2 linked regions of the Caenorhabditis elegans genome follow. The protein of the gene in region 1 purifies or fractionates together with the protein of each later gene. This does not show direct contact. Each region holds a gene or a part of one and is shown in the gene's direction. Other genes may lie near its edges.

Region 1 (4,014 bases):
CTCGACACCTTAAGGAGCTCAAGCATAAGATCAATGCGCTCAAAGAAAAACTAAATACTGTGTCAGGATTCGAGAGAGCTGAGGTGGAAAAGAAGTTGAACTATGAGACTGAACACTGGAAGCTCATGTCTCGTCATCTTTTATGTGTTAAGACACAAGCTCAAGATCCTGCATTAATGGCATCTTCTATGGATTTTGTCGATAAGCAGATGAAATTCATTTTGAATTTGCTTTGTGATAACTTGGATTTGCTCGGAGACGACAGTCAACTTCCAACTGAAGTATCACAAATGTTTTGTGCGCTCCCAGAATATTTTCTAGAGGATGCTCTCGATTTTTACATATTCGCTATTTCCAATGGAATGAAACTGCTCATGGAGAGAAATGCGGATTGGATTTCCCGTCTGACGGTCCTTTTCACACAATATCACTACATCAAAAGCCCATTTCTCGTTTCCAAACTGGTGAGAGTGCTGTCTTCTATTCAACCTCCATTATGGTTCAACGTGGTCAGACTTCGAATGGCACAAGAAAATTTATTGATGTGCATGATAAAGTTCTACTCGGATTTCGAAGACAATGGTGACTTTTATGAAAAGTTTAACGTTCGTGGAAATATCCAGTACATGTTGGAAAAAATGGAGGAAGATATGTTCTACAAAGGAAAGTTTATGGACATGGCAAGAGAATGCGGAGCAGAGTTCATTCGGTTTGTCAATATGGTGATTAACGATGCAACATGGTGTATAGATGAGAGCTTGTCTGGTTTGAAGAGTATCCATGATGTTGAGAAAAAGATGGCGAAGTAAGACTATTTCGAATGATAACTTAAAAATATAAATTTTATTTTCAGCAAAGTCGAATGGGACAACACAGATCAAGAAATCCGTAATCAGGATCTCGGCGTGTACGAGGAGGCAAAACGTAAAGTGAAGGGATGGCTTGGAACAGCCAAAAGTAATCTTAAATTGCTACTATCGATTACCGTAAACTCACCCGAACCTTTCCGTACTCCGGTTCTCGGCGAAAGACTTGCTGCAATGTTGAATCACAATTTATCGCAACTCATTGGTAGCAAGGCCTCCGAGTTGAAAGTCAAGGATCCAAGAAGTTATGGATGGGAACCACGGGAGTTTGTATCGTTGCTGATCTCAATCTATTTAAAGCTGAATATGCCTGCATTTGTTAAATACATAGCATACGACGAGGTTGGTTAACACATTTGTTTATTCAAAGAGATTTATTTTAATTATTTTTCAGCGTACCTACAGTCCTGAATTCTTCCATAATGCGATTGAATGCATGAGAAAGAATAGTATTGTTGGATTCAGTCAACTCGAAAGTTTCGAACATTTGGCCGAAGATGTTAAAAAAGAGTATGAGGCAAAAGCTGAGCTTGAAGAAGAGTATGATGATGTACCAGAAGAGTTCAAGGATCCTATTATGGATGCAATTATGGTTGATCCTGTCAAATTGCCATCAGGACACGTGATGGATCGTGCAGTCATCGAGAGGCATCTTCTCAGTACACCCAATAATCCGTTTAATCGTGCTCCCTTGTCGCACAATGAGCTTTCTCCCGATTCTGAGTTGAAGGCAAAGATTCAGGAATGGATTTGCCAGAAAAGAAATTCAAAGAAATAATTTTCTATCATATTCTATTGTTACCCAATTTTGTATTTATTGTACTTGACCATTGCACATGTGCAAAATGTCTGTAAATTTCACGCGTTCCTTTCATTTTATAAGTTTTTCTGGTCTCTCAATGGTCTAATCTTTCGGTTTCGGTTTCATTTTCTGCATGGATTCCTTAAAGTTGGTATTCTTGCCCTCTTTCATCAAACCTAAAAAACACGAGTAGTGCCTTGAATGTGAATAAATTTATACTAATTTACTTATTTTCTAAATTTTGGCTTCTATTGCGGTCTCCGATCCGCATACTTATATTTTTATTCTTTGTGAATTTCTTCACATATTCTGATTTTAGCCTTGAACCTGGAATGACTAAATTTCTGTAGGTTTATAACGAACGGTGTCGTATTGTTTTGTGATTTGTTACATGTCAATAACTTATAATATTTATACGTTCCCAGTCATCCCAAATCCGATTAATTTTTATTTTTGAAATATATTTACTGCTTTCAGTAGCTTGGTACATCTGGAACGTATTTGGTCGACGGCAATGTCTTTATTCGCGAGACAACTTCAATCCTTGACTGCCAGTGGAATCCGCACACAGCAAGTTCGTCTTGCGAGCACGGAAGTATCATTCCACACAAAGCCATGCAAACTTCATAAACTTGACAATGGACCAAACACCTCTGTCACCTTGAACAGAGAAGATGCTCTCAAGTACTACCGTGACATGCAGGTCATTCGTCGCATGGAGTCTGCTGCTGGAAACTTGTACAAGGAGAAGAAAATCCGCGGTTTCTGTCATCTCTACTCTGGTCAAGAAGCTTGTGCCGTCGGAATGAAGGCTGCAATGACAGAAGGAGATGCCGTCATCACTGCTTACCGTTGTCACGGATGGACCTGGCTTCTTGGAGCTACCGTAACCGAGGTTCTTGCTGAATTGACCGGTAGAGTTGCCGGAAATGTTCACGGAAAAGGAGGATCCATGCATATGTACACAAAGAATTTCTATGGAGGAAACGGAATTGTTGGAGCACAACAGCCACTTGGAGCTGGAGTTGCATTGGCCATGAAATACCGGTATGTTAACAAATTTTGATGTATTTTTTTACGAGAACAACTCATATTTTTTCATCTAAATATTTTATTTTATTTTCAGTGAACAAAAGAATGTATGTGTTACTTTGTATGGTGATGGTGCCGCTAATCAAGGACAACTTTTCGAGGCGACTAACATGGCTAAACTTTGGGATCTTCCTGTTCTGTTCGTTTGCGAAAACAATGGATTCGGAATGGGAACTACTGCTGAACGTTCATCTGCTTCTACCGAGTATTATACTAGAGGAGACTATGTTCCTGGAATCTGGGTTGATGGTATGGACATTCTCGCTGTTCGCGAGGCTACCAAGTGGGCTAAGGAATATTGTGACAGTGGTAAAGGACCACTTATGATGGAAATGGCCACCTATAGATACCATGGACACTCTATGTCTGACCCAGGAACCAGCTACCGTACCCGTGAAGAGATTCAAGAAGTTCGTAAAACAAGAGACCCAATTACTGGATTCAAGGACCGTATCATTACATCTTCATTGGCCACAGAGGAAGAACTTAAGGCTATTGACAAGGAAGTTCGCAAAGAGGTCGATGAAGCGTTGAAGATTGCTACATCAGACGGTGTTCTCCCACCAGAAGCTCTCTACGCCGATATTTATCACAACACCCCAGCTCAAGAGGTAAGTAATAACATTCATTATTTTTTCGTCAATTATTGTTCACATTTTCAGATTCGCGGAGCCACTATTGATGAAACTATCGTCCAGCCATTCAAAACTTCTGCTGATGTACTGAAGTCTATTGGAAGAGCTTAAACGACACGAATTTTCTATGCAACATTGACTGGCAAAAATTTATAATAATTCTTACGAAATTAAGTTTTTAGTGCTTTTATATAGTTTCGGTGACTGTTTTCTTCCGATGAGTTCATTTCTAGTTTCTAGTTGTTCACTTTTCTTCTCGATTTTCAATTGCATAAATCACATTTTCTCACCGTTAATCATTCATGGTCAAACTTTAAAACTAGTGGAAATTGAGAAGTTTTTAAAAAACCCCTTTAAATTTTCCGTCCACTTATTTCAATGTTACTTCAGGTATAAAAAAGGTCCAAGAAAAGCAATAAAATTACGTTCATAATAGAAAAATGAAATGAATGAAAATGCACACTAAACTTAGGATGATATTTTAAGAGATGCAAATAAAATTAATAATATCACGAAAAGGAAAATTTGTATGACATGGCTACTTAGTAGAGACCATGGGAGCCGATTGGAAACCAGTAATGTTCAATTTGTCAGATAAGTGCTGAAAGAAAATAACGTT
Region 2 (7,335 bases), on another chromosome or scaffold:
TGGGTCTCGACGAACACAATTTTTCTCGTGGACGACTGAGTCATTTGCACATCCCACAATGGGTGTCCTTTCCTTTCCCTTCTTTCCTTAGTTTTTTGTACTAATTTTATGCGACCACAGCCAGATTTTTGAAAGAAGCGATCAATAATTTTTGTATTCTCATTTTTAATCATGCCGTAAATTTTCAGAAAATGGAATCGAAAACCAGTGCTGCAAAATCTACGGGAGCGATAGCCTCAGCACGAACCGAGGTAATAGCGCAGAATGTTACATGATTCAACTTTTCCATGATTAAATATCGTAATTCTGAAATTTTTTGGCATCTGAGATAAATGCACAAGCTGTTTTATTGAGTGGGTCTCGCCACAATCCAAATTCTACGGTTTTATTAGGATGTCAAAAAAAATTGTATTATTAATGTACAAACGAGAATCTCAACATTCGGATTAAAAACAACAGTTACATCTGAAAAATATCAATTTTTTCAGAATCTCAAAATCAACAAGACTTCCAGCATCGATACTACGGAAATGGTGACCGTCGAGGAAAAAGATGCATACGTAGGTTCTATTCAAAAATTAAAAACAGTGATACCTATGAAGATACTCCTTCAGATTTTTTTTGACGAATTGCCAATTGTTCATATGTGGGGAACTCAAAAATTCAAAAGCAAAAATATAAATGTTTATTAAATTTTTTTTCCCAGTAAATCAGTAAACTTTCAGGATGTTATGGTTGAACTCGCGGCGGCCTTTGGAGAAGAAAATGGTTTTGTTGAGAATTGCAAGTAAATTCAAATGAACCTCATTTAATACAATGTCAACGTGCCTGATATTTTAATATCCCGTTTTCCAATGATTTCTTTCACGACAATATTTATTTCAATTTTATAAAGCTGTCATGTGGTTATTTTTTCTTAATATAAACGCAAACATGAACGCCTTATTTCGTCCTGGCCATGTTTTGGAAAATTCAAAATTAGGTTAAAAAAACTTGTGGAAGTTGTCCTTTTTGTGAATGAAAACAATCACTTTTCAAATACATTTTTGTCAAAAGTTTCCTTAACATCAAAACTGCATCAAAGTTTGCACAATTTAAGAAGAATTGCAATGAGCCTAGTAAGTCATTTGATTAAAATGGTTGAAAAATTAGAAGGTAAGCATACAGGGAAAAAATTATAGGTGAAAGTTTTTAAAAGGTACTAAAATTGGGACATTTGCAAAACTGTCTACTGGGGACATATGTAACTTCAAATACTCTGGCTTTGTTTAGTTATCAAAGTCTTTATTTAGAGCCTTTGATACTATTTTTGAATTGAACTTTTTATTTCAACACAATCATTGGTTTCTCTCTACATAGTTATGTATCCTTAAACTACAGAAAAATTTTTAACTTCATTCAAGCAATCATTCAGAAAAACTTATAACGGTCACATATACGTCGACCACGATATGCACGTTGAATTAGAAGAGTGACAGCTGTACTCTGATCGCTACCTGAACGACATGCGCACTTCAGTTTCAACTGATAATGCGGTAAAAGTTCAGATTGACATTGACTTTATCGAATAAATCTGTTAAGATAGGATGATTTGAAGGAATAGTGTCAATTTCAGTTGCATCTATAAAAAGGGTAACGGAGAAGCCATAGTCACTCTCGCAATGAAGTCGATAATCATTGCCTCTCTTGTCGCCTTGGCGATTGCCGCCTCACCGGCTCTTGACCGTACCTTCTCTCCAAAGAGCGAATACGTCTACAAATTTGACGGACTTCTTCTCTCTGGACTCCCAACCGCATCTTCCGATGCTTCCCAAACCCTGATTTCTTGCCGTACCCGTCTTCAAGCTGTTGATGATCGTTACATTCATCTTCAATTGACTGATATTCAATACTCTGCTTCCCACATTCCACAATCTGAGCAATGGCCAAAGATCGAATCTTTGGAGCAACGTGAGCTTTCCGATGAGTTCAAGGAGCTTCTTGAGCTTCCATTCCGTGCTCAAATCAGAAATGGACTTATTTCTGAGATCCAATTCTCTTCCGAAGATGCCGAGTGGTCCAAGAACGCCAAAAGATCGATTCTCAATCTCTTCTCTCTCCGCAAGTCAGCTCCAGTTGATGAGATGAACCAAGATCAGAAAGATATGGAATCCGACAAGGATTCTCTTTTCTTCAATGTTCATGAAAAGACCATGGAAGGAGACTGCGAAGTCGCTTACACCATTGTTCAAGAGGGAGAGAAGACCATCTACACCAAATCTGTCAACTTCGACAAATGCATCACTCGCCCAGAGACTGCTTATGGTCTTCGTTTTGGATCTGAGTGCAAGGAATGCGAGAAGGAGGGGCAATTTGTTAAGCCACAAACTGTCTACACCTACACCTTCAAGAACGAGAAATTGCAAGAATCTGAGGTTCATTCCGTTTACACTTTGAATGTCAATGGACAAGAGGTCGTCAAGTCTGAGACTCGCGCCAAGGTCACTTTCGTCGAGGAGAGCAAGATCAACAGAGAGATCAAGAAGGTATTCTATTTGAAAATATATTTTACGGGCTTTTGATAGCTAACTCTAACAGCAGCACACAAGTTTTCAGGTTTCTGGACCAAAGGAGGAGATCGTCTACTCCATGGAAAACGAGAAGCTTATTGAGCAATTCTACCAACAAGGAGACAAGGCTGAGGTCAACCCATTCAAGGCTATCGAGATGGAGCAGAAGGTTGAGCAACTTCAAGAAATCTTCCGCCAAATTCAAGAGCACGAGCAGAACACCCCAGAAACTGTCCACCTTATTGCCCGCGCCGTCCGCATGTTCCGCATGTGCACCATCGAAGAACTCAAGAAGGTTCACACCACCATCTACACTAAGGCCGAGAAGAAGGTAACCAATACACATTTCATAATCACTAATATCATGCTCTCTCTTAGGTTCAACTTGTCATTGAAACCACATTGGCTGTCGCTGGAACCAAGAACACCATTCAACACTTGATTCATCACTTCGAGAAGAAGAGCATCACACCATTGAGAGCTGCTGAGCTTCTTAAATCTGTTCAAGAAACTCTTTACCCAAGTGAGCACATTGCTGATCTTCTTATCCAACTCGCCCAATCGCCACTCTCTGAGAAGTACGAACCACTCCGCCAATCTGCCTGGCTCGCCGCAGGATCTGTTGTTCGTGGATTTGCTTCAAAGACCCAAGACCTTCCATTGATCCGCCCAGCATCTAGACAAACCAAGGAAAAGTACGTTCGCGTCTTCATGCAACACTTCCGTAACGCTGACTCCACATACGAGAAGGTTCTTGCTCTTAAGACCCTTGGAAACGCCGGAATCGACCTCTCCGTCTATGAGCTTGTCCAGATTATCCAAGATCCACGTCAACCACTTTCCATCCGCACTGAGGCTGTAGATGCTCTTCGTCTTCTCAAGGACGTTATGCCACGCAAGATCCAGAAGGTTCTCCTTCCAGTCTACAAGAACCGCCAAAACAAGCCAGAGCTCCGTATGGCTGCTCTTTGGAGAATGATGCACACCATTCCAGAAGAACCAGTTCTTGCTCACATCGTTTCCCAAATGGAAAACGAATCCAACCAACACGTTGCTGCCTTCACCTACAACGTCCTCCGCCAATTCTACAAATCCACCAACCCATGCTACCAACAATTGGCTGTTCGTTGCTCTAAGATCCTTCTCTTCACCCGTTATCAACCACAAGAACAGATGCTCTCCACCTACTCCCAACTTCCACTTTTCAACTCTGAGTGGCTCTCCGGAGTTCAATTCGACTTCGCCACCATTTTCGAGAAGAACGCTTTCTTGCCAAAGGAAGTTCAAGCATCATTCGAAACCGTCTTCGGAGGAAACTGGAACAAATACTTCGCTCAAGTTGGATTCTCTCAACAGAACTTTGAGCAAGTCATCCTCAAGACCCTCGAAAAACTTTCTCTTTACGGAAAGCAATCTGATGAACTCCGTTCCCGTCGTGTCCAATCTGGAATCCAAATGCTTCAAGAGATTGTCAAGAAGATGAACATCCGTCCACGTGTCCAACAAACCGATTCTCAAAATGCTCACGCTGTTTTCTACCTTCGCTACAAGGAGATGGACTACATCGTTCTTCCAATTGACATGGAAACTATTGACACTCTTGTTGAGAAGTATGTCAGAAACGGAGAGTTTGACATCAAATCCCTCCTCACTTTCTTGACCAACGACTCCAAGTTCGAGCTTCACCGTGCTCTCTTCTTCTACGAGGCTGAACGCAGAATTCCAACAACCATTGGAATGCCACTCACCATTTCTGGAAAGATGCCAACTATCCTCTCTATCAACGGAAAGGTTTCAATTGAGCTCGAGAAGCTTGGAGCTCGTCTTGTTCTTGATATCGTTCCAACTGTTGCCACCACCCACGTCACTGAGATGCGCTTCTGGTATCCAGTCATTGAACAAGGAGTCAAGTCACTTCAATCTGCTCGTCTCCACACTCCATTGAGATTCGAATCAACTGTTGAATTGAAGAAGAACACTCTCGAAATCACTCACAAGTTTGTTGTCCCAGAGAACAAGAAGACCACTGTTTCCGTTCATACCCGCCCAGTTGCTTTCATCCGTGTTCCAAAGAACCAAGACTCTGAATATGTTGAGGCTGAAGAGAAGACTATTTCCCACTCACAATACCAAATGTCTACTGAAGAGATTGATCGTCAATATGAGACCTTTGGACTCAGAATCAATGCCCAAGGAAATGTTCTTTCCCAATGGACTCTTCCAATGGTTTTGATGACTGAACAAGATTTCGAGTACACTCTTGAAAACAAAAACCGTCCAGTTGAGTTCACAGCTCGCGTCACTATTGGAAACCTCGAGAAGACTGATCTTTCCGAGATCAAGTTCGACAAGATCTTCGAAAAAGAATTCGACCTTGAGAACAACGAATCTGAGAACCGCCGCCAATACTTCCACAAGATGATCCGTGAGATTCAATCTGAGCAAGGATTCAAGAACCTCATCACCCTCAAGCTTGAAGCCCCACAACAAATGTACTGGAACACTGAACTTCGTACCGTCTGTGACAAATGGATCCGTATGTGCAAGGTTGAGATGGATGCTCGCCGCTCTCCAATGGAGCACGAGAACAAAGAATGGACTCTTCGTACTGAGCTTCTTGCTGCCCGCCCACAAATGCCATCATCCCTCCGTCAACTCCGTGAGCAACCACACCGTGAGGTTCAACTCGCATTCAATGCCAAGTGGGGATCATCAAAGAAGAGCGAGATCACAGTCAATGCTCAACTCGAACAATCCACGGAACAAAAGAAGTTCATCCGCAACATCGAGCGTGAGTACAAGGGAATTCCAGAGTACGAACTTTTGATCAAGGCTGCTCGTCTTAACCAAGTCAATGTTGTCTCTGAGTACAAGCTCACCCCACAGTCTGAATACACTTTCTCCCGCATTTTCGACCTTATCAAGGCATACAACTTCTGGACTGTTTCTGAGAAGCGTGTCCAAAACGAGAATCGCCGCGTTGTTCTTCAACTTTCTGTTGAGCCACTTTCCCGCCAATACATGAACATGACCATCCAGACTCCAGAACAAGAAGTTGAGTTGAAGAATGTTCGTATTCCACGCGTCGTTCTCCCAACTATTGCTCGTAGTGCCATGTTCCAACAAACCTGGGAAAAGACCGGAGCCACCTGCAAGGTTGACCAATCTGAGGTTTCTACCTTTGACAACGTGATCTACCGCGCTCCACTCACCACCTGCTACTCTCTTGTTGCCAAGGATTGCTCTGAACAGCCAAGATTCGCTGTTCTTGCCAAGAAGATCAACAAGAACTCTGAGGAGCTTCTCGTTAAGGTTGTCCGCCGTGAGGAAGAAATTGTTGTGAAGAAGTCTGACGATAAGTTCCTTGTCAAGGTTGACGGAAAGAAGGTTAACCCAACTGAACTTGAACAATACAAGTAAGCTTTAACTCTAAATCACATGAATTTTTCTAATCTCGTTTTTCAGTATCGAAATTCTTGGAGATAACCTTATTGTTATTCGTCTTCCACAAGGAGAGGTTCGTTTCGATGGATACACTGTCAAGACCAACATGCCATCCGTTGCTTCACAAAACCAACTTTGCGGACTTTGCGGAAACAATGACGGTGAGAGAGACAATGAGTTCATGACCGCTGACAACTACGAAACTGAGGATGTTGAGGAATTCCACCGGTCTTACCTTCTCAAGAATGAGGTAATCAGATTTTTTCAATGAACTGAATGTAAATTTCATTTTCAGGAATGCGAAGTTGAGAACGACCGCATCTCCGAGAAGAAGAACTACAGAAACAAATGGAACAGAGAAGAGAAGAAGTCCGACTACGAGAGCAGCTCCGACTACGAGAGCAACTACGATGAGAAGGAAACTGAGAAGGGTTAGTCTAAGGCTGAATGATGTGTAGTTTTAACAAAATACATATTTTTCAGAACTCGTCAAGAAGACCCTCATCAAGGAGTTCTCCAACCGCGTCTGCTTCTCCATCGAGCCAGTCTCTGAGTGCCGCCGTGGACTCGAATCCGAGAAGACTTCCAACAAGAAGATCCGTTTCACTTGCATGCCACGCCACAGCAAGAACGCTCGTCGTTTCTTGAAGGAAGCTCGTGAGCAAACTGTTGCCGAGTTGGTCGATTTCCCAGTCTCCTTCGTTGAGTCTGTCAAGATCCCAACCGCCTGCGTTGCCTATTAGATTTCATATGTTTTATTAATTTTCTATTAAATAAAGCATTTTCACTAGAATGATTTTTTTTCTCATCACTTCTAGAAAACAAATACACATGTTGTAAGGATGTCAATCGAAACACAGCTTTGCACCAATAGTTTTTATTTACGCGTGTATTTAAGGCTTCGAAGGAGATGATAGTGCTTGCAGTAAACACGAAAATTAGTGATAATTATGAAAATCAATATAATTTTAAGGATACTTAGAGGGCAATCAAAAAGCTTCTCGACTTAAAAAGGTACATTCCAGAACTTGATATTCGAATCTTGTCCGGCCGACACAATTGTAGTTTCGTTGAGCCAAATTACCGAATTGACAGACGACATAGCATGAGCACCTATAAAAATGTTGTTAAATGTGTTAAATTAATAGAGAAATATTTACCTTTAATGATGATCGGATGATCAGATGGTTTGTTCATGTTCCATACAATAACGCTGTTATCCAAGGAACCGGTCGCCAAACGGACATTGTCCGGTGACCAGGAAACACATGCAACCTTGGCGGTATGGAAAGTCCAGGAGTTTGTGTGAGCTAGCTCGAAGTTGTTCGCAACAGAGTACGGG

What was found. The genes of interacting proteins can lie anywhere in the genome.
Region 2: the proteins of pdha-1 (region 1) and vit-5 purify together in Caenorhabditis elegans (affinity purification with mass spectrometry, with the first as the bait; one large-scale study listed by BioGRID). This does not show direct contact.

What each region holds. Positions count from the first base shown.
Region 1 is NC_003280.10:8,064,300-8,068,313, forward strand, and holds pdha-1 (Pyruvate dehydrogenase E1 component subunit alpha), read left to right. Parts: upstream 1-1,987; 5' UTR 1,988-2,000; coding exon 2,001-2,014; intron 2,015-2,145; coding exon 2,146-2,715; intron 2,716-2,794; coding exon 2,795-3,371; intron 3,372-3,422; coding exon 3,423-3,506; downstream 3,507-4,014. Other genes in the region: Ubiquitin conjugation factor E4 ufd-2, read left to right, coding at 1-805, 854-1,208, 1,261-1,644; gpcp-2 (Putative glycerophosphocholine phosphodiesterase GPCPD1 homolog 2), read right to left, coding at 3,934-3,996. UniProt on the Caenorhabditis elegans protein: The pyruvate dehydrogenase complex catalyzes the overall conversion of pyruvate to acetyl-CoA and CO(2).
Region 2 is NC_003284.9:3,401,820-3,409,154, forward strand, and holds vit-5 (Vitellogenin-5), read left to right. Parts: upstream 1-1,651; 5' UTR 1,652-1,661; coding exon 1,662-2,525; intron 2,526-2,595; coding exon 2,596-2,880; intron 2,881-2,927; coding exon 2,928-5,965; intron 5,966-6,014; coding exon 6,015-6,243; intron 6,244-6,288; coding exon 6,289-6,424; intron 6,425-6,476; coding exon 6,477-6,736; 3' UTR 6,737-6,784; downstream 6,785-7,335. Other genes in the region: C04F6.9 (Gag-pol polyprotein), read left to right, coding at 192-251, 489-560, 726-791; unc-78 (Actin-interacting protein 1), read right to left, coding at 7,000-7,106, 7,154-7,335. UniProt on the Caenorhabditis elegans protein: Precursor of the egg-yolk proteins that are sources of nutrients during embryonic development. Together with other vitellogenins, may play a role in modulating life-span, acting via induction of autophagy and lysosomal lipolysis.